Danio rerio: one gene and its partner. The protein of the gene in region 2 interacts with the protein of the main gene of each other region in a pairwise test. Links are inferred from orthologs where the notes say so. Each region holds a gene or a part of one and is shown on either strand. Other genes may lie near its edges.

What was found.
Region 1: the proteins of cep44 (region 2) and pop5 interact in binary tests that used the Homo sapiens proteins (3 or more experiments, as listed by UniProt). The two-hybrid records come from large-scale screens. The link is inferred for Danio rerio from reciprocal best matches to the Homo sapiens genes CEP44 and POP5.

What each region holds. Positions count from the first base shown.
Region 1 is NC_133183.1:49,713,309-49,729,306, forward strand, and holds pop5 (ribonuclease P/MRP protein subunit POP5), read right to left. Parts: upstream 10,168-15,998; 5' UTR 10,135-10,167; coding exon 10,115-10,134; intron 10,000-10,114; coding exon 9,851-9,999; intron 9,727-9,850; coding exon 9,577-9,726; intron 7,658-9,576; coding exon 7,574-7,657; intron 5,486-7,573; coding exon 5,379-5,485; 3' UTR 5,035-5,378; downstream 1-5,034. Other genes in the region: E3 ubiquitin-protein ligase RNF10, read right to left, coding at 373-578, 1,289-1,479, 4,078-4,225; olfml2a (olfactomedin-like protein 2A precursor), read left to right, coding at 12,835-12,912. UniProt on the Homo sapiens protein: Component of ribonuclease P, a protein complex that generates mature tRNA molecules by cleaving their 5'-ends. Also a component of the MRP ribonuclease complex, which cleaves pre-rRNA sequences.
Region 2 is NC_133176.1:41,473,485-41,489,163, reverse strand, and holds the start of cep44 (centrosomal protein of 44 kDa), read right to left. Parts: upstream 9,575-15,679; 5' UTR 9,472-9,574; intron 9,312-9,471; coding exon of another isoform or gene 9,310-9,311; coding exon 9,221-9,309; intron 5,312-9,220; coding exon 5,164-5,311; intron 2,144-5,163; coding exon 1,997-2,143; intron 1,058-1,996; coding exon 959-1,057; intron 833-958; coding exon 671-832; intron 1-670. Other genes in the region: fbxo8 (F-box only protein 8), read left to right, coding at 15,540-15,679. UniProt on the Homo sapiens protein: Centriole-enriched microtubule-binding protein involved in centriole biogenesis. In collaboration with CEP295 and POC1B, is required for the centriole-to-centrosome conversion by ensuring the formation of bona fide centriole wall.

The DNA of each region.
Region 1 (15,998 bases), on a different chromosome or scaffold from region 2:
ATGTGTATTGATAAAGGTTTTACCTGGCACCAAAAGCTTTACCAGCAATATTATCGTTAACTAAACCATTAATGTTAATTAACCATTAGCATTCATAATAATAATTTAATAATTTAAATGTTAAATAAATATAGCACAAACTAAATAAACATTAAGTTTTCAGATAATTTCAATTAAGTTATATAAAAAAATATTGTTTGATTTAGTTTGCAACATTTGTTCACAATTGAAGTACTAAAATGAAAAAAAAAATTAATTAAAGAAGATATTAAACAAATAAAAAACTGCACTATTGCACAATGCAGCATTGTTACGTGTGATGTAATACCAAATTATTATATACACATGCACAACATATACTGCTTTACTTACTTAGCCTGTAGGAAAAGCTCCTTGTTGAAGGGCTTGTGTTTGTGACCCCACTTGTTGCGGCGACCCCAGCAGGAATGGCCATCTCCTCCGGAGCCAAAATGGCCTCCTCTTGGCTCAAATGTAAAGTTGAGCAGGTGGTTCAGACTTATCTTTTTGGGTCCAGCAAACTGAGCCGGGCTAAACTCTGCCCGGCGGTTTTCTGCTACCTAATTAAAAAATAAAAATCCAACATTTTAAAAAATGGGTTTAACAAAGAAATTAAGAGAGAGAGAGAGAGAGAGAGAGAGAGAGAGAGAGAGAGAGAGAGAGAGAGAGAGAGAGAGAGAGAGAGAGAGAGAGAGAGAGAGAGAGAGAGAGAGAGAGAGAGAGAGAGAGAGAGAGAGAGAGAGAGAGAGAGAGAGAGAGAGAGAGAGAGAGAGAGAGAGAGAGATACCTATTGCAAAGAATAATCTCTTGAAACAGAACTCGAAAAAATAAAGCAATTTGTTAAACTATGTTGAACTCAATAAACTGACATTTACATGCATAAGTTCAAGATTAGAATTCAATGAACTTGAATTTTGATTACTACATTTCAATCATTAAAATAAAAAAACAACTAATTTAAAAGTTTAGCAAAATTAAAAACGAGAGAAAAGAGAAAAACATTCCAAAATAAGGGGAAATAGTAAAAACTGAAATTTGCCAAATAAATAAAATAATAATAACAACAATGTAATTGATTCAAACAGAATTATTCTGACATAATAGAAAATCATAGGGTCTAACTACATATCTGTTAGTTTACCTTGCATTATAGCCTACTTCATTGCAGTTCATTAACCAGCATGATTACTGCAATTTTCACATTAACATGCAATAAGGAAGTGTAACTAACAACAGTTTTACAAGCAAGCGCAAATGAATCCTAACTCACCTCTTCTCTTCTCCCACCACCAGCGAGTCCATACTGTCGCACCCCTGCGCCACCTCTCTGAGGGGGTCTCTTGTCAAAATTCTTATTTTTTTGTGGCTGTGAGCGGCGTGGGCCTGGAAAGCTCTCAGCCTTGGCAAAAGTGGGCTCCCGCTTACGGCTGTAGCGCTTAGAGCCCCCATTATTTTTACCATCTAAAAAAAAAAAAAAACAGGAGGGGGGGGAATAAATATAATATTCCAACTTGAAAAGGTCAGCGTCTGCAACAACTTTGGGATTTTTGTTTGTTTGTTTTATTGCTTGTAGCATTGACAACTGGATGTTGCCATTCTACTGCAAACTTAAATGTTGACGACTTAAAATAAAAGGCCAGTGCATTTTCATTCTTCGGACCACATTCACACAGGCCCCAGCTAATCAATCCAGTCACATGTTGTGCTCAAGTGCTTCAGAAAGTGCCACATGATAAGAGCTGGAGGTTGTAAACACACAGCTTATCATTGGGCAGCAGAGACGGCCGTCCCGTACGCTTCACAAGCAAACATCAAAACATTATCAAAACTAAAACACTGACAATACTGTAAAGCCATTATTAGCTACAGTGATTTGATTCTGATATGCTGGAGGGAGTGATGTAATGTGACAGTTACAGTACACATGTAATGTAATGATGTAATGTGACAGTTATTTTTTAAAAGCATCTATATTTTTACTTGAGTTTTATTGTTCTGGCAACTTTCACCCTTACTATGTTTTCAATAAATTCTACTTTTACTCCGGTACATTTCTCTAAAGAACATGCATTACTTACTACAAAATGAAACCAACGGAACCAAGATGAAAGTCAGTTTGAGAAACTGGTGGTCTGCCGCATTCCCCAAATTGACATTTCCATTTACTATTATTATTCCTAATACTATTATTATTGATTTACCTGAACATTTAGCCTTTAAAAAGAAACAAAATCTATGAAACGGAGTTAAAACTGATCCCAATCATGCTGCTCAAACAGTGTACAGAGCAAATTTTGTTATATATTGGCTGTTGACATTTATTTATAGCATTTACTTTTACTTGACAACATAAGCACATTATTGAATAATAAACAAATAACACTTTTCATACTTAAGTACAATAAATGTCAGCTACTTTAAAACTTTACTCAAGCAAAATTCTACACAAAGTTTTTCTATTTTAACTTTTACCAAAGTCATTTTCTAGTAAGGTATCTGTACTTTCTCAAGTATGGCTTTCAAGCACTTTATACACCACTGGCTGGAGGATAGCATCCGAAAACTAGAGGGCAGTAGCTTTTGGCACAGATTTGCTTTTGGTCACATGGTGGACTACTGACAAGAATAGACCCTGGCCATGATCCCCATTCATCTGATCTGCTGCTAAGAGGAGCAGCAGACAAAATAACCCTGAATATTAATTTCCCCACGGGAATCGGTCAGTTTTTAAGAAAACATTAGGTTAGTTGAGGAGAAATCCATTTATCTATTTGAGAGCGTGACACACAGACACCACCCATGTAGTGTTATCTGAATATCAGTTTATTGCAAGTGGACATGAATATAAATTATACAAACATGTCTGATCAAGTTGGTAAAATATGTAATTTATTTAACTGGCATAATAAGTACTGTTGAATAGTATTTTATAAACAGAATCTCAAAATATATTCTCATTGAGGGTTAAGAAGGGCATAAAATTATGTTTAATAATAACATTAACTTAAAATCAAATAAATGGAGTCTCGTTGATGTTAACTCTAACAGGATCTATGCACCTTCTGGATGCTCTTTGTATTAATTATTTACTGAGTGAACAATTTACATTGATTAAACCTTTTACAGCTTTCAGCCATATTATGCAAATTATTAATTTATGTCAGTAAATTACAAGCACCTGGAATTTTACTATTTTTGTTATTTTTATTATTAATTATGAATTTATTTTATACTTATTTGTTTAAATACACTTTCCCAAATTATTTACAAAAAAATAAACAAAAACATCTTAAAGGCCGTTTATAATATTTGAAGAAAATTGCGAGCTAATTTCTACCTTATACTGAATATAGTTACATTTGTGACAATATATAATACATTTAGTAATTACTTTCGACAGATCAACCAAAGTTAAATTTATTTAAAAAACAACAGACATCAGCTCCTTTTTTTAAGAAATACTATTTTGGTACCGTCCCAACACCCAGTAAAACTAGTATTAGTTACTGAATGAAGTATAACGTCTATCTAATAAGCACATTGTTGTGTTTTCTATTAATAACGACAATATACTCAACACGAGTTGTGTAAAAAAATACCTCAGTTCACTGACAAACTTTACATAGATACATGTAAATAAGATACAAAATTAAGTTAGCCCTCACACTGTCGTTATTATTTATTTATTTGTTTAAATAATTTACCTCGCTTTAACTTTAAACAGATCTATTAAAAGTAAATAGACAACTTACATAAGAACCGTCTTTCTTAACATGCTTTACAATTATTTATTCTCTCATTTTAGGTATATGTTTTCAAGCATAGATCGATTAATATAACATTAGTGCTTATTAAGGACACTACATTAACGTTAGCTTCCTTTCTTCTATGTAATTTATGCACATTTATTAAACAAAGCTGCGGGACGATCGCTAGCCGCGGCTACGTCATCTCGACAGACAAACAAAAACATGTCGTTGCAAAACCGCAAACAAGCAATAAAACCCGTTTTGATCATGACAGTCGTGTGTTTATCTGTACAAGGCCCTGATTCTGTACCTGTTTTGGCTTTAGAGTCTGTCGGGTTGAGGCCTGTAGAGCTGGAACGGGGCGGGATCTTCGTGCTGCTGCTGTTGTTGTTGGCGTTTGGATTTTTCTCCATGTTGAGGCCGAACTCCGGGGTGAGAGCCTCCGAGCTCTCTAGCATTAAACGGGGTAAACGAGTTGTTGCGGCTGCGGGTCAGGCAACGAAGGCCCTTATTCATTTCTGACAAACACGGAGACCCCATTACGGCGACATCTTGACCACAAACAAACCAAGAGAAAAACAGAGACACAATCCAAATGTCTCAGTTAAAAAAGCCTGTGTGCTAACACAAAAAACAAGTGCCCAAAAAGCGGGGCCTCGCCCCTTGAAAAGCGCAGTTTCTCCTCGGCGTGGGAAGTGTTACGCCCCACAAGGCGTTAGCCGTTTTCCAAAAGAGGAAAACGGTTAAATAAATGGGTTTTAACCCAAATCTTACTCCAGCTAAGGAAATACAGACATATGGCGACGGGTCGCCAATCGGGAACCGTAAACACCCGGATGAGGGTTATAAGCCTCGGAGAGGTCAGAAAGTGCGCACGCGCAGGTTCGCCGATTCTGATTGGCGCATTTGACTACACGACATGGTTCTCGCATGCTTTGGTTGTTACCTAATACATTTCTCATGTAAAATTATTGGAAATTCATAAAAGATTGAAAACCTGATATATATATATATATATATATATATATATATATATATATATATATATATATATATATATATATATATAGTCTGTTTAATAGACTTTAAAGAGAAAGTTTACCAAAAAAAAAAAAAAAAAATGAAAATGTACTATTTATTTGCTATGTTAAACACAAAGGAAAGAAAATCATAAATGTTTAAAAGCAAGTCATAAATGTTTAAAACAGGTAAACACTGAGAAAATGACCTAGAATAGCTGATTTGATGTCAAAGCAATGAGTATTGATTGAGTTATTCATATTTACTTTATTTGAAACAAATGCTTACAAATCTATAGTGAACAGCAAGAAGCACCAGAAGTTGTTTCAGCTTTCTGAGGTGAAAAAAAAATCACTGCACATGGCATTCATACAACTAAACAGTCCTGTAAACATAAACCACATTCATAATTGATGTATAAAATAAAAAAGCATCAAATCAATTATTATTACAGTTCGGGAACCACATAACAATTCACTATTCAACTGCATTATGTATAAACAACATCACCATGTCATCCAAACCACTGCATGGTTGCATCTTGCCTTAATGAAGTACACATCCCGTATGTGCTTTTTTATATGGGGAATTTTAGGTGTCTTCTTCATCACCATCATCATCACTTCCATCAGTTTCCTCTCCTTTGATCAGATTCAGAGAACAGCTCAGGATGGCTTTCCTGACATCTTGTTTTTCAGCTGTGTTGTGGAGAAAAAGAGTGATGGTATGATGAGTGAATCTTTGAGTGGTTCTCAAACAAATAATTTTAACGTTTTAAATAAATTGTGAATTATAAAAAGAACGCTGCACTTAAAATAAATAAATATATATAAATAAATAAATGAAATAAATAAATACTGCATTTTAATGTATTTTTGGAATGTCATCAGCAACCACTCTTAAAAAACTAAATAATAAATACATACAGTAAACTGATTTAGTGCTTAAAATTATAAAAATCCTTAATTAGAGGCTATTCACTGTATATTTCTTGCAATATTAAAATGATGTTAATTGTTTTATGTTATGTTGTAGTATGTTATGTTATGTTATGTTATGCTATTATGTGTATAATTTTTATGTTTAGACTTATTTGTTGTGTTAAGATAGTAACATAATATACAATTTTTCAGGATCTCAACTTATGTTCCTTGTGATCTTAACCTAAGTTGAAACAGGTTGTGATGCATTTGTTTGTCAAGTTGTCATAACAAACAATGTCATCTTTGCATTTAAAATGACATAACTGAGAAAATTAAACTTAGTGACAGTTGTCATAAGCATGTTTAAAGTCTCATTTACATTCTTGACATGAGCCTTTTCATGATTATAAAGGCTTAATGACAGTCTTATGACCACCCATTCAAGTAAAGTGTTCCCATATAGGGTAATAAATAACACTGAATCAGTAAAGAACGGCACTTTTAATTAATTCTATTTTTTCGAGATACAAGCATTATTAATATTAACTGACATCGAGACATACTCGTAAGTCTTATTTGTCATGTAGGATAGGCGCTGACCATTAAAGATCTAGCAATTTGATGACATTAGCAACCATCTAACTTCATAATGTTCTTGTAGATTTACTTTTAATGTATATAATGGAGCTGCACAATAATGAAAAACATCTAACACAGCAATATTTTGTTATTCTGCAATCTATATTGCGATGTGAATACAATTTCACTAGGTGACAATAAAATCTCTATTTGTAAAGTATTAATCATTTTAGATTGATTTGGATGATTCAATAGTGGCAGTGCATCTGCAAAAGAATAGATATACTGTAACTGAAATAAACAGTGTTTTATATATATATATATATATATATATATATATATATATATATATATATATATATATATATATATATATATATATATATATAACTAATAGTCTAATAGTGTTCGGGCACAGTAATGGGCTTTATGCACAGCTAGTGTTTTTCAGCCAATGATCAACTTCCGGTGAGAGCCTTGTGTGACTATTTTCAATTTCATAAGGTTCCTTTTACAGCATTAAAATTTTAATGTAATCAAAATACATTTAGTTAAAAAGACTTAAGCATTTGGTGGTTAAATCGTAAACAGAGGCAAAAGACTGTTTAAAGGGAGGCACCGTTGTTAGCCACAGGCCAGCGCAGAAATTCCATTGTAAATGCTGGGGTAAAATTAATTTCCATATTTTAAAAATATGGATGGAAAAATATAATTTAATGCAGTGCTTCTTGTTCAGTCTGAGATCCACTTTATATTGTATCTTAGCCAGGCAGTGAAGATTGCTGTTTTTAAAGAAATCAGATATTAAACGCAGTAATTTTCTATGGGATGGCAATTAACGGAAGCCCTGGGGCTGGCTGGCTGAAAATAAAAGTTGGTATGCATATACCCCATGGAACAATAAAAATAATTCAATAAAATGAATCATTATTAAAGTTACAAATGGTAATTTTTTTTATTCCTGAATGCTTTTAAAACCATTATACATTCACAGTCCACAAAAACACATGCAAATGCTTAATTATAATATTAACTCAACACTGCAGATCCTGCGATGTGACTGCAAATGATCACATTGCAATATGGATAGTAAAATGATATAATGTGCAGCCCTAGTAAATAATCTAGAAGGAAACAACAAGCTACGTACAGAAAACATTTAGTGCTGCTCAAATATAAATGTTAATGCTTAGATCGTGAGAAAACAAGCAAGTAAAACTACTGCTAATAATTTATGGACTCTTTAGCGTTCATACATTATATAAATGTAACAACAGAACTTACCATCTGTCTTGCAATCTAGGAGCATTCGTTGGAGCTGTTGTCTGTTGTACTTAATAAGAAACTTCTGACTCGTTCTAATGGTTCCTGTGGAAAAGATCAGAGAGGAACTGATGTAAAATTGTGTGCTTATTGTTGTCAACCATGTAAAGCTCTGACAGAAAAATGTTCACTATGCAATAATATACTGCAGCCTGCACGTGCACAGGGGTAAACATTTCTTCTGAACATCTTCTGTGCATGACATTTAATCAACATGAAGTCATCAAGGTTTCACATATCCTTTTTCGGGTAGAGGGTGAGTAAACTGTGACTTTCTTTTTAGGTTAATCCCGGTTAAATGAGTAATCAAAAGAGTAAGCATCAAATGAGGAACTGGCAAGAAAACATGTTACAATTGCGACTAAAAAAAGGAGCAATGATATCCAGTAATCTTGAGTTTATACGCAATCTCAAAGTTCAAAATGTATTCCTTTTAATTCTCATATTTCTGAGGATGCACTGTACTCACTGTAAGAATACTGTACAACAAATGAAAAAGTTGCCCTTTTTATGTTTATAATTTTATGTTTAAAATAGCATCGCTTGTGTTAAGAGATTAAATTAATGAACACTTTCACAGGATCTTAACTTCAGTTACTTTTGATTTTGATAGAAGATGTTTTCTCATTATCATGACAAAATGTTTTTTTTAATTATCTCAACACATAGTTCTATACAGTGGAAGTCAGAATTACTAGCCCCCCTGTTTATTGTTCCCCCAATTTTTGTTTAATTGAGAGAAGAATTTTTCAACACATTTCTAAGCTTAATAATTAATTTCTAATTACTGATTTATTTTATCTTTGCCATGATTACAGTACATAATATTTTTCAAGGCACTTCTATACAACAGTGACATTTAAATGCTTAACTAGGTTAATTAGGTTAACTAGGCAGGTTAGGGTAATTAGGCTAACTATTGTATAACGATGGTTTGTTCTATCTAGACTATCTAAACAAAATATAGCTTAAAGGGGCTAATAATTTTGACTTCAAAATGTTTCTTCAAAAAATGAAAACTGCTTTTGTTCTAACTGAAATAAAACAAATAAGACTTTCTCCAGAAGAAAAAAATATTATCAGACATACTGTGAAAATTGCTCTGCTAAACATCAGTTGGGAAATATTTAAAAAAAGAAAAATTAATAATAATTCTGACCTTAATTCAGTTTCATTAAAGTTGTAACATAACTATTAATGTTTAGATTATAAGAAAAACAAGAAAGCAAAAATACTACTACTGCTATTTTATTTATTAGATTATTTATTTAAAAAAAAACTAATAAAATAAAATAAACACTGTACAACAGTCCGCATTATCAGGTTCTCAGAATAATGATCTACTAGTGCAAATAAGTTGTCTAAATGAATAAGGTTTCTATTTTAATTGAAACTTATGTGTAAACATTCTGTCTTGCTTTGATTCAGAACTGAGTTTGTATCTTAATCATTGCAAGAAATGAAATTAGAATAGTGTGTTGTCAGCTTGAAACAAGAACAGTCAGACCCAAAGTCTGACACCAAAAAAAAAAAAGTCACTGCAACTTTTATTTCACATTTAAAGGGTTTTCACTGCATACTCTTGAGTTTGTATCTCATAATATTCTTCCCTTCTATTGACTCACAATTGTGAATAAATATAACAAAATTCTGGCCAAAAATATTTAAACTGTCAGGTATAAAACTTTTTCAATTTATCAAATGCAAACTTTGGATTAACATTGCATAAATAATCTACAATCTGGATAAACGAAAAACAGTGCCATACAAACTGACTTTTTTCCTTACAAATTAAAATATACACCTTTTAAGATTTTCATTTTATATCTGTTTAATGTAGAACTGCAGGTACGAAAAGAAAAGGAGGTAAGATTTGTCAAAAACAAAGTATCACAATTTTAAAACAAGTGTGACTAGCAATAACCTTTATTAAATTTTAATTCTAGCTTCCGATTAATACTTGCCTCCGACATGAATGCAGTTGAAGAAGCACCGCACTTTCTGTCCTCTGTTCTCCAGGAAAGTAATGAAGGGAAGAGAGGACCACACAAGCCGATAATGCGCTTTCCTGCAGCGGATCAGCACCACCCCAGTGTGGGCATTCAGATATTTCACTGCACAACATTAAGGAAGATATTAAATAAACTGAGCTAAACAAATTAAGTATCAACATCACAAAAAGTGATTACTATTTCTAATAGGTTATGTTAAAAATCTTAACAACATCTCATTGTTTACCTAATACGCCTAACGTTATATTAAAAATCGCCGCTCCGTAGTCGCCGTGAGCTCGGTTCACAGCCCCTCTGAGTGCCTGATACACGACTTTATCCTCGAAAAGATGAAGACTGCTGGGTTCAGAGACACACAGCTCGCACAGCAAATACCTGGTAAAACAGTAACATGTTTAAACTGTTAAGCATCTAAAGGTTACGTTTAAATTTAGCTATTTTATGCATTTAAAACCGGGACCCGGAAAAATAAGTTATTTTTCTTCATTACCTTGACTTGAATCTGACCATATTCTCAACATGTGGTTAAATATCTTTGTAAACACTTTACTTCCGGGTTTCATTTGACCAATGGTGCTAGAGGAGGCGGGGTTATTATATGGTAACGTAAATGTTCTTTTAGACACACAAAAAATGCAAAATGCAAAAAAAATTAGATCATAAATGGGATTAAAATATTATTTAGAAAATATTACGTTTCACAAAGTTGCATTATTATTATTTCCAAATGTGTATGTTATAAATAGCATTTTGGGTCTAATTTGGATATATTTGTTTCAAACAATTTAATAGAAAGTATCATTGAACTAAAATGTTTATGATTTTCAGGAACTTCCAGTGTTTTAAACACACATAAAATTTTTCTGAAAAAAAAAATCTATCCTAAATGAGAGTAAAATATGATTTGAAATATAGTATTAAGCTTCTTTTAAGTTACATTATTATTATTTTCAGCATGTATGAAATAAATATGTTTGGACTAATTTGTAATTGTTTGTTTAAAACAATAAATAAAAATATTAAATGAAAATGTTTACGATTTTCAGGAATTTTATTGTTTTAGACAAAAAATACAAAAGGAAAAACAAAATTAATATCATAAATGAACGAAAATATTATTTGGAAATTTTTAAATTTCTTTCAAGTTACCTTATTAATATTTTCAACATATGTATGTAATAACTATACTTACTCCTTTGGGTCTAATTTATATTTATTTGTTTTAAATAATTTAATAAAAAAATAGTATTAAATTAAATGTTTACGATTTTAGGGATTTTGCAGTGTTTTAAACAAAAAATGCAAAATGAAAAAAAATATCATAAATGGGTTTAAAATATTTTTGGGAAAATATTAAGCTTCTTTTAAGGTACATTATTATTATTATTTGCAGAATGTATGTAAATATACCTAATCTTTAGGGTGTAATTTGTAGGCTATTTATTTGTTTTAAACGACTTAATAAAAAGAGTATTAAAATAAAATGTTTGCGATTTTTAGGAATTTTCAGACATTTGTTTTACAAAAACAAAAATGTAAAATAAATAATATCATAAATTGGACAAAAATAATATTCGTAAAATATATAAATAAAAAATAGTTCATTCATTTAATTTCTTTTCGGCTTAGTCCCTTTATTAAATAGCGGTCGCCACAGCGAAATAAACCCCCAACTTATCCAGCATATGTTTTACGCACCGGATGCCCTTCCAGCTGCAACCCATCACTGGGAAACACTCAGACACTCTCATTCACACGCACACTAAAGACAATTTATCTTACCCAATTCAGCGCATGTCTTTGGACTGTGGGGAAGTCCGGAGGAAACCCACGCGAACACGGGGAGAACGTGACAGAAATACTGACTCAGCACAGGGTCGAACCCATTTAATATCAAAAATGCGGCAAAAAATATTATTTGAAAATTTTTAAGCTTAAGCTGCATTATTATTATTATTGTTATTATTATTTGTGTTATAGACACAAACAATGATAAATGAAAAAAGTATATATCACAAATGGTACTGAAGTATTATTTGGAAAATATTTAGTTTCTTTTAAGTTACATTATTATTGTTGTTATTTTCAGCATATGTATGTAATAAATATACTTACTTCTTTGTGTCTAATGGATATTTATTTGTTTTAAACGATTCAATGAAAAACTTTAATAAATTAAAATGGTTATGATATTATTTGAGAAAATTATCAAATTAATATATAATTATCATATATAAAAAAGAATATATTATATATGTCATATTTATTTTTATCTAATTTTGGATAATTTATTTTAATCAAATTAATTCAATCTTTTGTATACTTTTAATGCTAATAATTTACTTTTAATTATAATAATTTAATAAAATAATAATTTTCGTAAGCTTATTTAATTTTAATTTGTTTGTTTACCATAATAAAATGTTCAGTAACTTTATTTATTTCTATATAAATAAAAAATAAATATTTCAATGTTTTATTTCTTATTATAATGATGGCCTTTAAAAACAAAAGAAAAAAGGAAAAGAAAAGAAAAGGAATTTACATTTAAGATTTTACTCATTCTGTGGACGATTTTATAACCATTAACCGAGAGAGGGCGCTAGATAACAGCTAAAAACCTAACCTAAAGTTCTTTGCTTTAAGGTCTCCTGAAAACATGAAGCGCATATCCACAAATTCAAGCATTAACAACATCGACAGGCTACATTGTTATCACTGACAATACCATAGAAGACTACATCAAATAGAATCATCTGCCTTTAATTTGTGTCTACAGCATTACCTCCAAATGTACTTCTCATAATAACTATTTTTTATTATAGAAATATAATTACAGTGGTCGTCGGTCACTTATAAATGTCCCTGGAAAGAAAAGCTACACATCAGCACAACACATAAATGTCTCAGTGGTACAGAAGTGGTGCCAGTGTTCCTCCGCCTTGCACATAGTGTGAGAGAGGATGATGGTGATGGTGATGGTGGGCGTTCATCATCTCACATCTAAGCGGAGTTGAAGCTGAAGCTGCTGCGCGTCACAACCCACACACACACACATACACTCATAACTCTGCGTGACCTGTAATCATGGAGCCCTAAACCTGTGTTCTGGAGGATCTAGACTCATAATACCAGACTGAGCTTACAGGTGCCTTCAGAGACGCCAAATTATACCATCAGGTGGAAGCTGTGCAGGACTTCGATTAGTTGATGAAAAAAATGTGGATCTACGCAAGTGTTTTAACTTATCTGCTTCTTTTGACCAGAGATGCAAGATCTTTGAGTAAGGTAAAGAGATTTTCATGTTTACATCGTATTTCGTACAATTGCATTTACGCACAGCGTGTGTGTTTGTATTTGTGTGTTGCCAAATACGGTTTTGCAATTACCTGTTAGTTAAATTATTTCATCAGTTGCGTTTTTTTCTTTTTTTTTCCGCCCATTTATCTGTGATTATTGCAATTTGTCTTATGGCATTCGTTCGTTGCACATGATGTTTTTGGCAGATTTGAAGACAAATCCTGCCAATTTAAGCACAGACAACATTTTCTTGGTTTTGTAATAGTTCTGGATGGATGAGAGAGTTATTGGTGTTTGTAGGATTCGTGAGATTTTGAAACGAAGTTCATCAGGGGATTTTGAAATGACGTGTTCGGTAATCAGTGTTAATGAAACATGAAATTCCACGAGGTCAAATGTATAATGTTAATCTGTCTTAATAAAGGATGAGGGAAACGTGAAATCTAAATCATTTTTGCACTGTAAAAATTGGATCTAAAATAATCTAATAAAATAAAAATAAATAAATAAATAAATAAGTAAATAAATAAATAAATAAAGTGTGTTGTTTACAGTTAAATTCAGAATTATTAAACCCCCTTTGAATTTTAAAAAAAAATATTTTCTAAATGATGTTTAAGAGAGCAAGGACATTTTCACAGTATATCTGATCATATTTTTTCTTCTGGAGAAAGTCTTATTTGTTTTATTTTGGCTAGAATAAAAGCAGTTTTAATAATAAAAAAAACATTTTAAAGTGCAAATTATTAGCCCCTTTAAACCTTTTCTTTTTTTCCATTTGTTTACAGAACAAGCCATCTTCATACAATAACTTGCCTATGATTGCTCTAACCTGCCCAGTTAACTTAATTAACCAGTTAAGCCTTTAAATGTCACTTTAAGCTGTATAGAAGTATCATAAAAATATCTAGTAAAACATTATTTACTGTCATCATGGCAAAGATAAAATAAATCAGTTATTAGAAATAAGTTATTAAAACTATTATGATTAGAAATGTTTTGAAAAAAATATCTCAGTTAAACAGAAATTGGGGAAAAATAAACAGGGGTGCTAATAATTCAGGGGGGCTAATAATTCTGACTTCAATTGTATATTATATGCAATTATTAAAACTGAAATGCTGCCTTTTTCCACACTTTAGAATGTGTACTTATTATTACAATAACAGGCAATTACAGTGAAAATACAGACGATTAAGTAACACAAACAATGCAAATATTACTTTTTGCACAAAAAGAGAATGACTCATTTTGTCATTTGTTTCAGTATTACAATGTTATGGCAATGAGAAAGAAAAAGATAATAAAATAATAAAATTAAAATAAATAAATAAAAAAGGAGTGAGGGGGGCACATGAAATAACACAAATGAATGCAGAAATAAATATGGCTTAAATTGCCTTAACTTAATGAGTTTTACAGTACTCAGTTGGTTTGAGTTCTCTTCATTTATCAGGTTTTACTGTGCTCAAATTGCTTCATTTACTCAAATAGATTAAGTTCACAGTAGTCATTAAGATTAGTTTTTGAACTTAAATGGTTTGTTGCAATTGGTTTCCTCAAACAGTTTGAGTTACCTTAACTTTTTGGGTTTTACAGTGTGGGTTAATACAAAAACCTGAATTAAGGAATTGATTTTCTTTCATGTAAAACCCCAAAATAATATGTTTATAGCTTAAAAAAAAATCACCTCAAACCTTTTGGACAATTATAAGTATTCTCATCAGACAATAAAGATTTAACAAAGGGACATTCCTAAAATATGTGAGCAACAGACTTAGAAGAAGTCTGATAGAAAGAAAATTTGTATAATATATAACAATATATATATTGTTTTGCATCAATTATTAAATTGATCATTTGATTCTTCATTTTATTTGTCAAATAATACCCAATCAATATTATATTTAGAGCAAGAATCATTTAGTGATATATTAAAAGACCCAAAATATTAAAGAAATATGTTTTTAAATCTTTATACATTTCATTCTCACAAATGTTGTTTGAATCATTACTTGTATTCAATACAATGAAAGAAATGGTGTCTACAAATAAATAAATAAAGTGTGTTGCTTATGTTTGTAATATAGGCAACTAAAAGTACTGCCTTTTTCACACTTTAGAATGTGTACTTATTACTGCAATAACATGCAATTACAATGAAAATACATAACATTAAGTTTAATACGAACAATGCAAATATTACTATTAATAATCATCACAAGCTTTTTTTCAACATTGATAATAAGATGAATTGTTTCTCGAGACTGCAAAAATGGCAACTTTTCTTTATAGGGTTAATATATATATTTTCAAATATAGTCAATTCATAAAAAAATATTAGTTAAGTAATTAGTGTTTTACTGTATTGTTTGATAAAACAAATGCTGCCTTGCTGATCGTAAATCATAAATAATATTACCCAAAATACCCAAATTGATTATATTATATTATTTTATATTATATTATATTATATTATATTATATTATATTATATTATATTATATTATATTATATTATATTATATTATATTATATTATATTATATTATATTCAGAAGACATTATTTCCGCTCGAGGAAATGTCTACAGTGATGTTTACATCCTCGCAACAACACACCATTAACGCTAGACACTATGCATGTAAATTATCAATTTTACCAAAGATAAATACTTACAGGTTGTGGCTCACAATCCACAGCTTGAAGTATTTTTTAGCCAAAACCAGCACTGAACTAGGAGATGTCCTTTGTCAAGTGCTAGCTATATATTTTTTATAATTGGCTGGAACATAGCTGAAATTAAATTGTAAGCACTTCTCTTTTTGTGTCGTGTCCTTTGGAAGTGACAAAATATGAAAACAGAAGAAGCTATGTGGAAATAGCAGTGTTTTGGACACCATTTTAGCTTTCTCTGCTAACATTACAGCACCACTGGCCACACCCTGTTGCTGCCTACGTTGTATCCGCGTGGTGAATGTGTGTAACCGGAAGTGTATTTGATCTCACTAACCCGGATGTATTTTTTTGTAGTCCCCAAACTTTGTTCGCTGTAGGCTTTGCTAAGCTAACGCTGTG
Region 2 (15,679 bases):
CTTAAAAAGTGTTTTTCTTCGACAACTTTGCACAAAAATAGAAAAGTGAAAGTATTTTTCTCCATTTAATAAGAAATACTGAAAAAAAATAAGCACACCCCACCTCTTCTCAACATTGATAATCAAAAGAAATGTTTTTTCACATCAAATCATTAAGAATTATGATTTGTATAATGTGGTGTTAAAGAATGAAGAAATAATAGCTGCTGGAAATTCACCTTTCCCAACACAGGAGTGAATTAAACTTTAAAATATATTAAATAAGAAAACATTTATATTTTAAAAATTGCTATGATATTTTCAAGTGATGTAGTTTTTTATATATATTTTAACTAAATTCAGCATTGCTGAGAAATCAAACATTTTAAAAAAAAAAAATCTTTACCTTACTGCAAATTAAATGTATATTCTGTTTTAATCACAAAAGTTACACGATCAAAAACAGTTAAAAAAATGTAACATTATTAACACATTTTTGTCTTTTTAATTAATGAATTATATGCAATTAATTCCTTAATTATTATTAAAAAAAAGCTCTAAGTAACCAAGTTTCCAAGCACTTTACACTCCTGCGTAAAAAAGTATAAATCCGACTAAATCTAATGTCTGGTGAACTTATTCATGCACATCCCAGTGTGTACATATGTTGCTGAATATATATTCCACTCACAGTGGATTCAGCAGGTTGTGATGAGTCCTCTAACCGTTCACTGTCTAACTCCTTTTCTGATTCCTCTTCCTGCTGTGGATGTTCAGCTGAGGAGTGTCTGATTTGAGCTGCTGCCGAGCTGCCGCCAAGATGCCTTTCTACCAGTGGCTGCTTCAGAGGCATCTAAAGCAGACATTGACAATTATTATTATTATTATTATTATTATTATTATTATTATTATTAGTAGTAGTAGTAGTAGTAGTAGTAGTAGTAGTAGTAGTAGTAGTAGAAAAAACATGAAAACTTACCATCAGGGCTGTTAATTCCTGTGAGTTACTGTCATCAGAGGGAATTTCATTTTTAACACAGCTCTTCAATACAGGCCTTTTCTTTGGCTTACTCAGATGCTGTAAGACAATATTCAATTACAATATGAAAAACATAAAAATATAAATAACAAAATCCTGGCCAACGTTTAATTTGCTAACAATTATTTTCAAAAATATAAAAATAAGATAAGTAAAAACAATATACAGTTGAAGTCAAAATTAATATTATTGATTTTTTTTCTTTTTTAAATATTTCCTAAATTTTGTTTAACAGAGCAAGAGAATATTCACATTATGTCTGATAATATTTTTTTCATCTGGAGAAAGTCGTGTTTTATTTCAGCAAGAATGAAAGCAGTTTTAATAAAAAAAAAAAATAAAAAAAATTAAGGTCAAAATTATTAGCCCCTTTAGGCTATATATCTTTTTAGATTTGCTACAAAACAAACCATTATACAACAATTATACAGTTATTAGATATTAGTTATTAGAAAGGAGTTATTAAAACTATTATGTTTAGAAATGTGTTGAAAAAAAATCTTCTCTTTGTCAAACAGAAATTGGGGAAAAAACAGGGGGGCTAATAATTCTGACCTTAACTGTATGTGTAAATTAAATTACTAGTTTATATAAATATATTTAATATGCTAACAATTGTTTGCATATCACAATATTATTGAACCAATTAATGTGTTATATTGAATTACTATAATAGTTTGCATAAATATATTGAACATATTATAAATAAACTAATTAATTGTAAATGATTTATAAAAACATTACTATACAAAGTGCGAAAATAATTTATCATTTTGAGATCAGCTAAAGTCTACATACTGTATAATATTTATTAACGCTGTGAGAATATATGTATGTGTGTGTATATACTATAAACTTAAAAAAAAAAAAAATAAAAAAAAAAACATAAATAAATGTTTCTAGTACCTGTGAATAACTGAAATACAACCATATCTCTATACGAGAAAAAAAAACTGTATGAGGGTAAATCAGCGATACCTTGCTATTTTTAGTGAGTTCTTTGTGTTTGCTGAGAACAAGGCCAATGACATCACAGAGAATGCTCACTTTCCTCTCTGCAAACCCAAACTGAAGGAACTGCTGTTTGGTCAACAGTGGTTTATAGCTGAAAACATCCCGCAAGACCTACATTTGAAGGGATTTTCTCATCAAAACACAGATACAACAAAACACAGTGATTTAAAATAAATATTACAACTTGAGAGGTTTAACGCATTAAAGGAACTGGAAGGAAATGATCCTCTAAGTGGATTAAAATCCCAAACAAAAAAAAAAAAAAAAAAAAAGAAGAAGAAGAAAAAAAAAAAAAGATTTGTAGACTTTTTGGAATTCCAGAGGAGCCACTAAGACTAATCACAGGAATACGCAAATGTAAACAGTGAGATGTACTGTAGCACGAAGGAAAAAACGACGACTGGAAAAAAAATGATTGAATTGCTAAACACTACTTTCCTGTTACAGCGTCTCTAATTTTTAGCAAATGCCACCAAGGCCCTGAAGGTAATCTAAAGGGACCACTAATTCCCCCCTGAATATTTTACGTGAGCCTCAGATGATACTGGGATGAAGGCCAGAACTTTAAGAGCTGCACAAAAGGTCAGCGAACAGGAGGAAGTGCTGAAAGACAGAGCAGCGCTTCAGTCAGTCCCATGGCTGAACGTACAGAATCAGTTTTGAGTTAATCTGAGATCAGACGACTTGGACCAGCATGAAAACAAGCCTTCTTCTTTTATTCACTCACTGCAGGAGAGCGATGCGAGTGGAGAATAGTAATTACTCAGGATTTGCTGGTGAAGAGCTGCCAGTTGAACATCTGAATGCTTTGCTTCAGAGCTACAGATGCTCCAAATCACAGACCTTCACAGAGAGGACCTGCGGTTCTGATTTTAGGGGTAAAGGGGTAGTTCACCCCAAAATAACATTTACTCACCATCTATTTTACAATAAAAGTAATTTTTTTTAATTATGTTGGAAACGGGTAAATATTGACATCCATAGTAGAAAAAAAATGCAATAGAAGTCAATGGCTGCATGTTTCTAACATACTTTGAAATATCTTCTTTATGTTCAACAAAAGAAAGAAACTGAAACAATTTTGGAATAAGTGAAAACCGAGTCATTAAACCCTGCCAGATTCGAGACAATGCCAATAAATAAGGCTTATATTAATCAACCTCTTCAAAGAGGGAGTGAAAAACAGTATTAATGGCTTGTTCGGAGTTAAAAAGCCTTTAGAGTTTGACCCTAAAAATGAACTGTGTCCTCATAACTGGGAAAAGGCAACTGTAAGCACTTTGATCCATTTAAAATAACCAACTCATTAAAACCACTAGCTCTTAAAAGAAACTGCAAACAGTTTAAAAAAGTCAAAATTAAAGTGGGCTGTGATGTCAAGCATGTTAATAAAGATCTGTTGTTGATTTTAAATAAAAATATACTATCCAGAAACTAGCCTAAATGCTAAAACATGAATGGAATGAATGTATTTTAAAGGAATGATTCACAAATTACACTTGGGTCATTATTAATTCATAAAGGTTATATGTTGTTTATAAAAACTTTTTTTTACTATACAGTAGATGCCAATGGTCACCAAAAGGTTGGATTAAATTTAAAAAAGTTAATTGTATGACTATACTTTGCTGTAATATTTCCAGGGTGTTTTTTTTTTTTTTGTTTGTTTGTTTGTTTTTTGGTTGATTCACACTTTTAAATTGTTTTATGAGACCTTGATCTCTGCTCTGAAATGTGATGTTTAAAATGTAAATCTACTGTTCAACAAAATAAATGTTTTTGACACTTTTAGAATAAAATAATAAATTTAGAATAAAATGATAAATTGTCTGGGTTGATTTTGGTCACATTAAATCCAATGTGAAAACCTGGTAATGAGCTGCCAGTTTTTTTGTTTTTGTTTTTTTCTGTTATGAACTTATTTCTCAGACTGCACCAACATTCCTCAAAATGCCTTCTTTCACATTCTCCAGGGAAAAAAAAATAGAAATGTATACAGTAGGGTTACATGATTCATGATAAATTAAGAACCCTGATTCTTTTTATAGAAATAGTTAAAATATAATAGTTTAAAAGTTACCCGAATAGGCAGCTAAACTAAAAATGCTTTAGTGGACTTAAATTTTATCATTAATGAAATCAATAAATATTTTAATGGTATGGTTTGGCATATAATAAATGAATCAGCATTTTGAATGAATCTCTTGAAGTACTGCTTCATTGCATGTTAAACATAAACATACAGTGGAAGTCATAATTATTAGGCCCCCTTTGAATTTTTTTTTTCTCTTTTAAATATTCATTAAATGATGTTAAACAGAGCAAGGAAATTTTCAAAGTATGTCTGATAATATTTTTTCTTCTGGAGAAAGTCTTATTTGTTTTATTTCAGCTAAAATAAAAGCAGTTTTTAATAAAAATAAAAATTAAAAAAAACATTTTAAGATTAAAATTATTACCCCCTTTATAAGCTACGTTTTTTTTCTGATAGACTACAGAACAAACCATCATTATAAAATAACTTGCCTAATTACCCTAACCTGCCTAGTTAACCTAATTACCTAGTTAAGCCTTTAAATGTCACTTGCTGTACAGAAGCTGTATAGAAGTGTCTTGAAAAACATCTAGTAAAATATTATTTACTGTCAGCATGGCAAAGATAAAATAAATCACTTATTAGAAATTAGTCCTTAAAACTATGTTTAGAAATGTGTTGAAAATATCTTCTCACCGTTAAACAGAAATTGGGAGAAAAATAAATAGGGGCGCTAATAATTCAGGGGTACTGATAATTCTGACTTCAACTGTATATATTGAAGACAGCTAGAACCTTGCAACCATTGATTCCCACAGTATTTTTCCTACTATGGAAGTAAAAAGTTACATGTTTTCCGCATTCTTCAAAATATCTTCTTTAGTGTTCAACAATAGAAAGTTTTGGAACCACTTAAGTAAATTGTGATTTTTAGTCAATTAGAAATGTAGTAAATTTCCAAAAACTATCCCTTTAAAAAGCTTTACAAACTACGTGCAGAGATAAATAAATAAATAAAACAATAAATAAATACTAAGCTACATCAAAATATATAATATTTAATAAGCTATATAAAAATATGATGAATGATAATCACCTTGTACACATTCTCAATAAATCGCAAATCATTCATTCCGGTTAGTTCCACGCCAAAATCGACCAGGTACTCTGTGAGTGAGGGGGAAAAGGACGTGAAGGCAAAGCTTACAATAGGAAGACACGCTGATGGATCTCCAACAGCCAATCTGGAAGAGGAAACCACAATATTAAATTATAAAGGACTTGTAATGACAAACAATTCATAAAACGTCATCATAAAATCAACATCAAATCGAGGTTTTAAATCAAATATAATGTTTAAAAGAGTGGCAGCACTTGAAAAATAAAAGCTGTCTGCAAGCCATTTTGAGTGTCGTGCTGGAGGCAAATTAAGTCATCTTTCCAGCATACACAAGCCAAAATAGATCTGTCTTTCTGAGGAGCATTCTGTGTTTGATGCATCTCACATCAAAACCTCTGAGCTGAGCATCTGATGTGCAGCTTGGGGTCTTGGTGGAGGAACGGAGCTGGTTTTTGTAAAGCCTGTTTACAAAATAGCGGAGCGCTGGGGAGGCTCCGGACAAGTCTTCAACTTTCCAAACTTCAAAACAAAATACGGGACATGAAACACTGACAGAGTCTTATTTTGGGATGTTTATTTGAGTCAAGATGTTTCAAAGTCAAGGCCAAAAAAATAAAAAATGAATGGTGGAATTAGGGAACGTCAATGTCTAATGGATTACATCTTGCATATATTATATCATCTCTGCTGACCGCATATGAAATAATCATTCAGATGATGGATTTGTAAAGCCCTGGGAAGTGGAGATTTGTATCTACAAATCTAGGATTTGTCTCTGTGGCCACATTTAACAAGATTATGTTCTTTTATATTGACATTTGAGGTTACAGAAAAAATAGAACTGATTAAAAACATTGACTGATGAAACGTATACCTTTAATTTAATGTGGATAAAAGCATCTGCTAGATAGTCAACATACAGAAAAAGGACACTAATTGTTCCATGTATGTATAGTTAATGGATATTATTCAAAGCAAATATACATTTTTATGTGCTAACATGCATGTAAAACAAGTATAAACATTAATAAATTGCTCACTCAGCCATAGTGTACTTTGCAAATTTCCACTTCCAGTCTTTTGGCATGGGTGTGATCAGGGTCATGATTATGAAAATGATTTAGGAAAATCTTTTGCTCAGAATGTATGCTTTATTGTTCCATGTTAAATTATTTGGAAACTACATTTTACTATTATTTAATACAGTAATAATTCTTAGAATGGTTCAGTAGAAGCATTTGTGAATGTTTAGATAAATGAGAAAATGTTTTTATAATAATACACAACAGCAACAGCAATAATAATAACAACAGCAACAACTCATCCAACTTCATTTTCCCCCATACATTACAACATGTCCTGTTTAATTACTTTTTTATTCAGAGAACTCATAAATGAGCGAGGCAGTGGTGCAGTAGGTAGTGCTGTCGCCTCACAGCAAGAAGGTCTCTGGGTCGCTGGTTCAAACCTCGGCTCAGATGGCGTTTCTGTGTGGAGTTTGCATGTTCTTCCTGCCTTCGCGTGGGTTATCTCCGGGTGCTTCGGTTTCCCCCACAGTCCAAAGACATGCGGTACAGGTGAATTGGGTAGGCTAAATTGTCCGTAGTGTATGAGTGTGTTTGTGAATGTGTGTGTGGATGTTTCCCAGAGATGGGCTGCGGCTGGAAGGGCATCCGCTGCATGAAAACTTGCTGGATAAGTTGGCGGTTCATTCCACTGTGGCGACCCCAGATTAATAAAGGGACTAAGCCGACAAGAAAATGAATGAATGAATGAATGAATGAGAACTCATAAATATTGTGCACTTATACCAGTATTTAAATATGATATCCACTAAATTGTCTAATTAAACTCTAGTTTATACACCATAAAATAGTGCAAAGTACACTTAGAACAAGAATCATTTGATGACATATTAAAACCCAATATTTAAGGATCACAGAACAGCCACAAAATGCCTTATAAAATGATATTTATATATCAGCAAAAAATAAAAAATAAATTAAAAAATCAACCATTTAAAAGACAGTTCATTTTATATGATAACATATTTGTTTACATACAGTTAAAGTCAGAACAATTAGCCCCCTTCAAATTTTTTTCTTCTTTTTTAATTATTTTCCAAATGATGTTTAACAGAGCAAGGAAATTTTCACAGTATGTCTGATAATATTTTTTCTTCTGGAGAAAGTCTTATTTGTTTTATGTCGACTAGAATAAAAGCAGTTTTAAATTTTTTAAACACCATTTTAGGGACAAAATTATTAGCCCCTTTAGGCTATATTGTTTCTAGATAATTTACAGAACAAACCATTGCTATAAAATAACTTGCCTAATTACCCTAACCTGCCTAGTTAACCTAAATAACCAAGTTAAGCCTTTAAATGTCACTTTAAGCTGTATAGAAGTGTCTTGAAAAATATCCAGTAAAATATTATTTACTGTCATCATGGCAAAGATAAAATAAATCAGTTATTAGAGATGAGTTATTAAAACTATTATGTTTAGAAATGTGTTGAAAAAAATCTGCTCTCCGTTAAACATAAATTGGGGAAAAAATAAACAAGCGGTCTAAAAATTCAGGGGGGCTGATAATTCTGACTTCAACTGTATTTTAATATGTACAGGTCAGAATAAGTTTTTATTTTATTTTATATTATACAATTAAAATATAATTAATAAACTAATATCGAATAAACACTAGGGCTGCACAATATATCATTTCAGCATCGATATCGCAATGTGATCATTCACAATAGTCACATCAATCCACAGTGTCAAGTTCAGCTTCAGTTTATTCATCCCTCAGGAAATTTGATTGGAATAATAGCTTACCAGGAACCATCCTGTTGAGTGATTGTAAAGTTTAACCTTAAACGAGTGCTTTTTTGATTTGTTTTTAAAGATTTTAATTAATTTGTGTACAAAAAATTAAAACAATAAAAATGTATTGCATTTAACTTTTATACAATGAAGAATTTACTGTTTTATTTGCTTTCATTTGAATATTCAACGTATTTTTGAATACAGTTAGACCCACCAAAAATGTATGCAGATTATCTGGCCTTCAAAAGTCTTCCAATCAATATAAATGTATGAGTTCTTTCCAAATTGAGCTATTCAAGTCATCTGGTGAAATAATTATAATCATATCGCATAATCGCAATAAATATCACAGAAAAACAAAATATTGTAATCTCAGATTTTTTAAATATTGTGCAGCCTTAATTAATACCAACTATCAATATTAATGAATCAATATACTATTAATAAAAAAATATTAAGAAAATAAATATAAGTTATGTTGAATGACAATGGAGCATTATATAATAAACATTAAAGTAGACACTTACATTTAATATGCTTTAGTGTGTATTTAAAATCATATCAATTTAGTTGATGTGTTTCCAAAATCTCATTTTTACTCATGTCTTTTGGTCTGTGTATTATAATATAACTGAATTACTTACAGTCTCAGCCACTATCAACATTTATTTTCTGTACAAATTTAATTAAATGGTTACTACAACTGACACTCTGCATAACATTTTCATTTGAGTTTTTCTGAACAAATAAACTGAAGACAGAAGTTTTTTTTTCTTAGTATGCAAGAAAGAACACTTACAAAGATACCATAAGAACAAATAGATAAAAAAAAGTTACATAAATAAAGTTTACATGATTTACACCAAGAAAGGGTTTTACATGCAAATTAATTATTAGAGTTCTATAAAGAATTTCTGAAAATAATAAGGGTGTTTCTTCAAAAAATTACTTCATTTATGGATGTAACATTTAGCCTGAAAAAGCAAGAAATTAATAATAAATTTACAATGAGAAGGATTTAAGTTCAGAGAGTTACCAAAGAGTAGTTTTTGTGGAAATACAAAACACTTTACCGCAAGTACATTCCCAAAATAAATGATTTAGTGTTTCGAAGACAGACAGTTAATCTAGATTCAACAACAAAAACCTGAGTAAATAACGAGTTATTTTTGAACTACACTATTCTTTTAACATTGATACTCCATACCTTTGATAATCCACATCTCTGGGATACTTCAGAGACCGAAGAGACGCTTCCAGTTTTCTGAGACATCCCTTCAGGTCACCAGTGGCCATCTCTGTCATTTCATCAAGAGTTACATTGTTATTAACAAGTTTAGATGCATACAGCGATGTCAATTCATCATTCATAAGCAACGTGTGTGTTACCCTTTGTCTACAAAGGTAAATCATTAAAAACGGTTGTTATATTAACGTTTGGAAAACCAAAACTCTTACCGAAGGCTAAATATTAGTAACGGAGTTATTGCTAATCCCTTCCTTTTGTTTTTGCCGCTAAAGGATTCAAGATTGTTGTTATTGGTTTCTATGCAGTGGATACAAAAATCACCCACAGTTTCGCTTCTGCACATTCATGTCTGGTTGTTAGGTTGTTAGGTTCTGTCCAAAATACAAAAAGATACATAATTTGTTAGTGCTAGTCTCATGAACTGGTTGACGAACTTAATTAAGCGAAGTATTCTATTTATTTATTTATTTATTTATTTATTTATTTATTTATTTATTTATTTATTTATTTATTTATTTATTTATTTATCAATCACACATTTGTTTATTATTTAATATATATATATATATATATATATATATATATATATATATATATATATATATATATATATATATAGAAATAAATAAATAAACAAAATACATTTAATATTATTATTATTAATAATAATAATAATAATAATAAAATTTACCAAAAAAATAACATTTAAACAACCAAATAAATACATGTTAAATGACTTACATTATTAAATTATTTTAATATTACTTTGTACATTTATTACACCTACAAGTCAGGTGAACTGGATAAGCTAAATTGTCCTTAGTGTATGTGTGTGAATGACAGTGTATGGTGTTTCCCAGTGATGGGTTGCAGCTGGAAGGGCATCCGCTGTGTAAAACAAATGCTGGATAAGGTGGCGATTTTTAAGTGGCGACCCCTGATTAAAAAAGGAACTGAGCCAAAAAAATTAACATATGAATGAATGAATATTTATTACAAAGACTAAGGACTATGTTTCACATCAAATAACCACACGAACTTGACCAAGACGACAAAAAGAAAAAAAGTTTTTAACGAAAGTGCAACTGAGTGTACTCGTGCTCAATTTACTTTACGCGATTTGCGTCACTTCCACCAATAACAAGAAACGTCAGTCTGGCCAGAGTGTTCGAGGAGGCGGAGAGAGAGGCAGGAGGAGCGACTGTACTGATGAATGATAGAGTCACAGGACTGTCTCACCCTCGACCTGCAGCGTTGGAGCTGTCACGATGGCTGTACTGGGCTCCGGTTAAAGGACTGAGATAATTTCACCCGCGAGACTGTGGCAGACCAGCGAGTCATTTCGTCGCGGCGGCGGTAGAAGTATTTCATACACACAGAGGTGGGTGGCGCTGCTTTGAGCGATTGACGCTGCGAAAATAAAAACAGAAGATTTCGATGCGTCACTTTGCGCGACAGCCAATCGGAGGGCGAGTTAATGTGTCAAATCGGCATTCTAGCCAATAGTGTTAGGGCGAGGCGGGATTTGTGCTTCAGCCAAACATGATGGAGGACTTATTTCTTAAAAATGTACCTCGATTTGTGTGTCAGTCGTCGAACTTAAAAGTTTGATAAAGTACATCTCTAAAAAATACACATTTATTTAGTGTAAAACAAAGCGGAGCTCGTGCTAACTTGTTTTGTAGTTATGTAATATGTAAGACGAGTTCTTCTTTGTTAGGACAGAAATCATAAAGGCTACTGCAATGCAAACTGGGTCAGAGTTATAATACGTTTTGCGTTATCAGGCTAATATAATTGTCAGATACTGTAAACAGTTGTCAGCAGTGACAGTCTTGTAATGCCGTTCTTTCCAGCTTGTCCCAATTTACTGTAAACAGTTTGACAAGAGTTACATGATAGTGACATATTTAGAGTTACTTTCTCTTTTAATAGAAATACTAATTAGATGATGGAATCATTAGTATCTAATAATAATAATAATAATAATATAGATGTTTGTAATGTAACTATGATAATCTTAAGGCATATGCATATTTAATAATATTAGTATATCATAATAATGAACAATGATGGTATTGTGTTCATGGCACTTCAAAATAAAGCCAATACTTGTTTATTATTTCACCTTTTAGAAGTCCTTTTAAGAATATTCTGGTTGTTGTATTAACAAGAGTGGCATGATAATAACATAAATAGAGTTGCCAGTTCTGTTTACGTTCTTTTTTAATAGAAACACTAATTAGATGAAGAAATTCCTGATATTTAATAATAATAATATGAATAACATAGATGTTCATAGTATAACTATAGTACTAGTAAGGCATGTGCATATTTAATAAAATTAGTATATCATAATAATGAACATTAATGATACTGTTATTGTGGCACTTCAAAATAAAGTCAATACTTGTTTATTTTTTCACCTTTCAGAAGTCCTTTTCATAACATTCAGATTATGGTATTAGAAATGGTGTTTATAACAGCATCAAATGCTTAAAGTCTTCATGGACTACTTTTTTTTTTTCAAGATGCTAATCTGGCGTATGACATGCCCAAAATATTGATTGAAATGTTCTGATTCTTTATTTGTTTACGCTTTACAGTACATCCCAATTAACATTAATTATAAAAGCTAAACTGAGAGTGAAAACATTAATCATAGGTGCTGTTAATGTTTTCTTGATTAACTCATTAAAATCAAACAAGTTTTAATTAAAATAATAACTAATAATTCAGTTTGTTTCATACTTTTACATACATACATGATTGGTTAGCAAACTTTGCTCGTCCTCATCGCACAACTTTGCACTAATTCTTCTTAAGTTGTACATACCCTCTGGACATATACATTTGTAATTATGTTCATATCTGCCCGCATACCTCTGATTATTATCAACCTGTACATATTTTCATCTATTGTAAATCTCTGTTAATAGTTAATATAACCTGTATATAATGTTTATAGTGCATCCATCTGTAAATATCACCATAGTTTTTTTATTTTTATTTTATTATTATTATTTTTTTATAATTGCACTTTATAGCTTATACCTATATATAGCAGCTGCTATTGCACTCCTGGTTAGACTTAAACTGCATTTCATGCCTTGTACTTGTACATGTATAATGACAATAAAGTTAAATCTAATCTAATCTAGCTGTTTCCCACTGTTGAAGATCTCCTAAAATCACTTACGAGAGTTTATTGTAAAGAGTACATGTAAACTTTTGCAACATTTGAAGTTTTTGAGTTTATGTTAAACATTTATATACATTAAAGAATAAACAAAAAGTAGTTGTTTTTTTTTTGTTATTACATCTGTTAAAAAAAAAAAAAAAACTTTTTTATTTGTTCTTGATGAGAGTATTTCTTAAACAATGTTAGTATCCTGATAACGCCATACACCATGCTGAAAGATTCAGCACTTATCAAAACCGGAAAATATGATACCATCATAGGCCTAATAAACGTAAGTAGTTTTTAATGATTCATGAAATGCTTCTGCCCTTAGGCAAAGCTGAGGGAAATTGCTTGTCAGAGTTCATTGACCTCAGATTTCCAGTCCGTATTTAAAGCAAAGCAGGTCTAAAAATTCCCAAGCTCCTCCTACAGAATGCCAAGAAGCAGGTGCCGTGACATTGTGCAACTCTATGTCAGATTCATATGAGAAAAGCTGTCATGTTAGAAACTCAGAGAGAGCATCCAAAAGGCCATTAAAGACTAGAATAACAAGACGTCTAATACAGTAGACCGAGATGTGGAGGCCCTTGGAGGGAGTCACATAAAAAGGCTTAATGCATATCTCCGAGAGAGGATTAGTGCTACTGTGGTGGAGATAAAGCTGCCATCGGGGGTTTTATTTCCCAGCTGACTACTGCAAACCAACACTAAAAACAGTTTCCCTAGGGTTGTTGGAAGAGGTAAGGATTCGGGGACCCTAAAAGAAATGATCTAAATCAAAACTGAAGTGCTGAGAGCTTGAGACCTCTGGATTATTCTGCTTTAGTTTATAGGAACATAAGGCAGAGAGATAAAAGGCTTTATATACAATCCCTTCTTTAATAATAAATACAATAAGAGATTATATGATATACAAAAGCTCTTAGCCAAATGGAAAATAAAAGCAGGATGGGCTGCGTGTGTCAGATGTCTCTGAGATTACATCAGCTTCTTCTGCTTAATGTATATGAAATCAAAACCAGAAACTGAGCTGAGACTATAGGTCTTGGTGATCGAAATGTGATGCACGTGCTACATATTTCAGTTTGGTTAATGACAGAGTTGTTTTAATAGAGTTTTATAGATCGGAAGGATGCAGGAATTCAACGTTTTATTTATGCTACAAAAATAAAATCAAAAGTTTGGAATTATTTTGAGCTTTAAATGTTGTTTGAAAAAAAAATTAATATGAATATGAATATGTATGTATGTATGTGTGTGTGTGTGTATGTGTATATATGTGCATATATATATATATATATATATATGTGCATATATATATATATATATATATATATATATATATATATATATATATATATATATATATATATAAATGACAATTGTAAGAAATACTTACCAAAAAATAAAAAATAAAATTCAAGTTATACCGAACTGTTCGTTACAAAAAGTATATTTTTTCAACAAAATTAGGCTTTATGAAGTGGTCACAAATTGTTTTATTGTTTCCTGTTGCTCTTTTGTGCTTTTCCATCTATTTTATTTTTTATTTTTTTGTCTCATCAGGTATTCAAAATGTAACTTTATGAGTTGTTCTTTTTAAGAGAACTGGTTGTAGCTACTGAATCAATTGACAGGAACAGCAATGAACTAATTCAGATGTACGTTTGAACTGAAACACCAAAAAAACATGCAATAGGCCACCATAAAAGGTCTGAATTCTACCTAGTTTTGCAACCTTAAAGGGCTCCACAGACTATTCAAATAAAATGGTTTATTGTTGCACAAATGTGTTAGCATATTAGTGACTTTTCCACATGCAACATTATCTATTGTAAATAGACCATTAATGACGATACTACCATTTACAAACTACAGTGGCCAGTATTTTAGGGCCATATTATCACGATAATACCATAGTACTGGTAAACCGTGCATCCCGACTAGATTAACCTAGAGACTACAAGATTCATGTTACTAATACTGAATATCTTTGTGCCAAATTTCATATAACATTCCTAAAAGTAATTCTGGGGCAGCGAGAGTCAAAAAGAAGAAGTTGAAGAAGAAGGATTCAAGAAGAGGTGCTGGGGTGCTCCACAATTTTGAGCTGTGGTGCTTTAACAAAAATGCAAATTACTGCTTTTTATATATGAGTCAGACACTATTCATATTAGTTTTTATCTAAAGCTGCAGTCTCACTAAAGTTTGAGCATGCGTAATTCTGTCAAATGGGGCTGCGAAAAAGAAACAGGATAAAGATGAAGCACTGACACTAATAAAATTAGCGATTGTTCCATATTTTTTTATTTTCTATTGGTCTCATGCTTTCACATCCTTTGAAACACAGTGACATTCGAAACTTCAATTCGAGCTTGCGCTTCCGGTCTGTCGCATTCACACATTTGAATGGAAGTCAATGGAGCAAAAAGTGGAGTGACCTGTTGGTTGTGTAATATTTTAATTTATCTGATGCTAAGTAAATTGTATTATTTATTTTTAATTGTAAGCCTAGACAAGATAGTTTTACAGTTAAAGTCAACATTATTAGCCCTTCTGTGAAAAAATATATATATATTTTTTTATTATTTTTCAATTTTTCCAAAATGATGTTTAAGGAATTTTTCACAGTATTTCCATAATATTTATCTTCTGGAGACATTCTTATTTGTTTTATTTGGGCTAGAATAAAAGCAGTGATAAACATTTTTTTTTAGGGTTAATATTATTAGGCCCCTTTAGCAGTATTTATTTATTTATTTTTATTATTGTCTACTGAACAAACCATTGTTATACAATGGTACAGTACTAATTTTCTTAATTAATCTAGTTAAGCCTTGAATTGCACTTTATACAAAATAGTACGTACTGTCATCATGGCAGAGATAAAATTATTTATAAAATTATTTATTGACTATTGCATTTAGAAATGTGTTGAACAAAATCTTCTTTGTTTAATAGAAATTGGGGAAAAATATGCAGGGGGCTAATAATTCTGACTTCAACTGTATATTGTACTGTTTTCACCAATGTATGGCTAAAATTAACAGAAATTGAGTCTATTTTTTTATTGATTTTTTTTCAGATCTGCAGATGGGTCAGAGTTTGTGGAGGGTGGCGAGGAACCAGCAGCTGCAGCAGCAGTACAGTGAACAGTGTTTCCTCCAGCGGGACAGAGAGCATGTCCGGAGGATGGGGTCTCCACTGGTTGAAGGGCTGCCACAGCGCCGCAC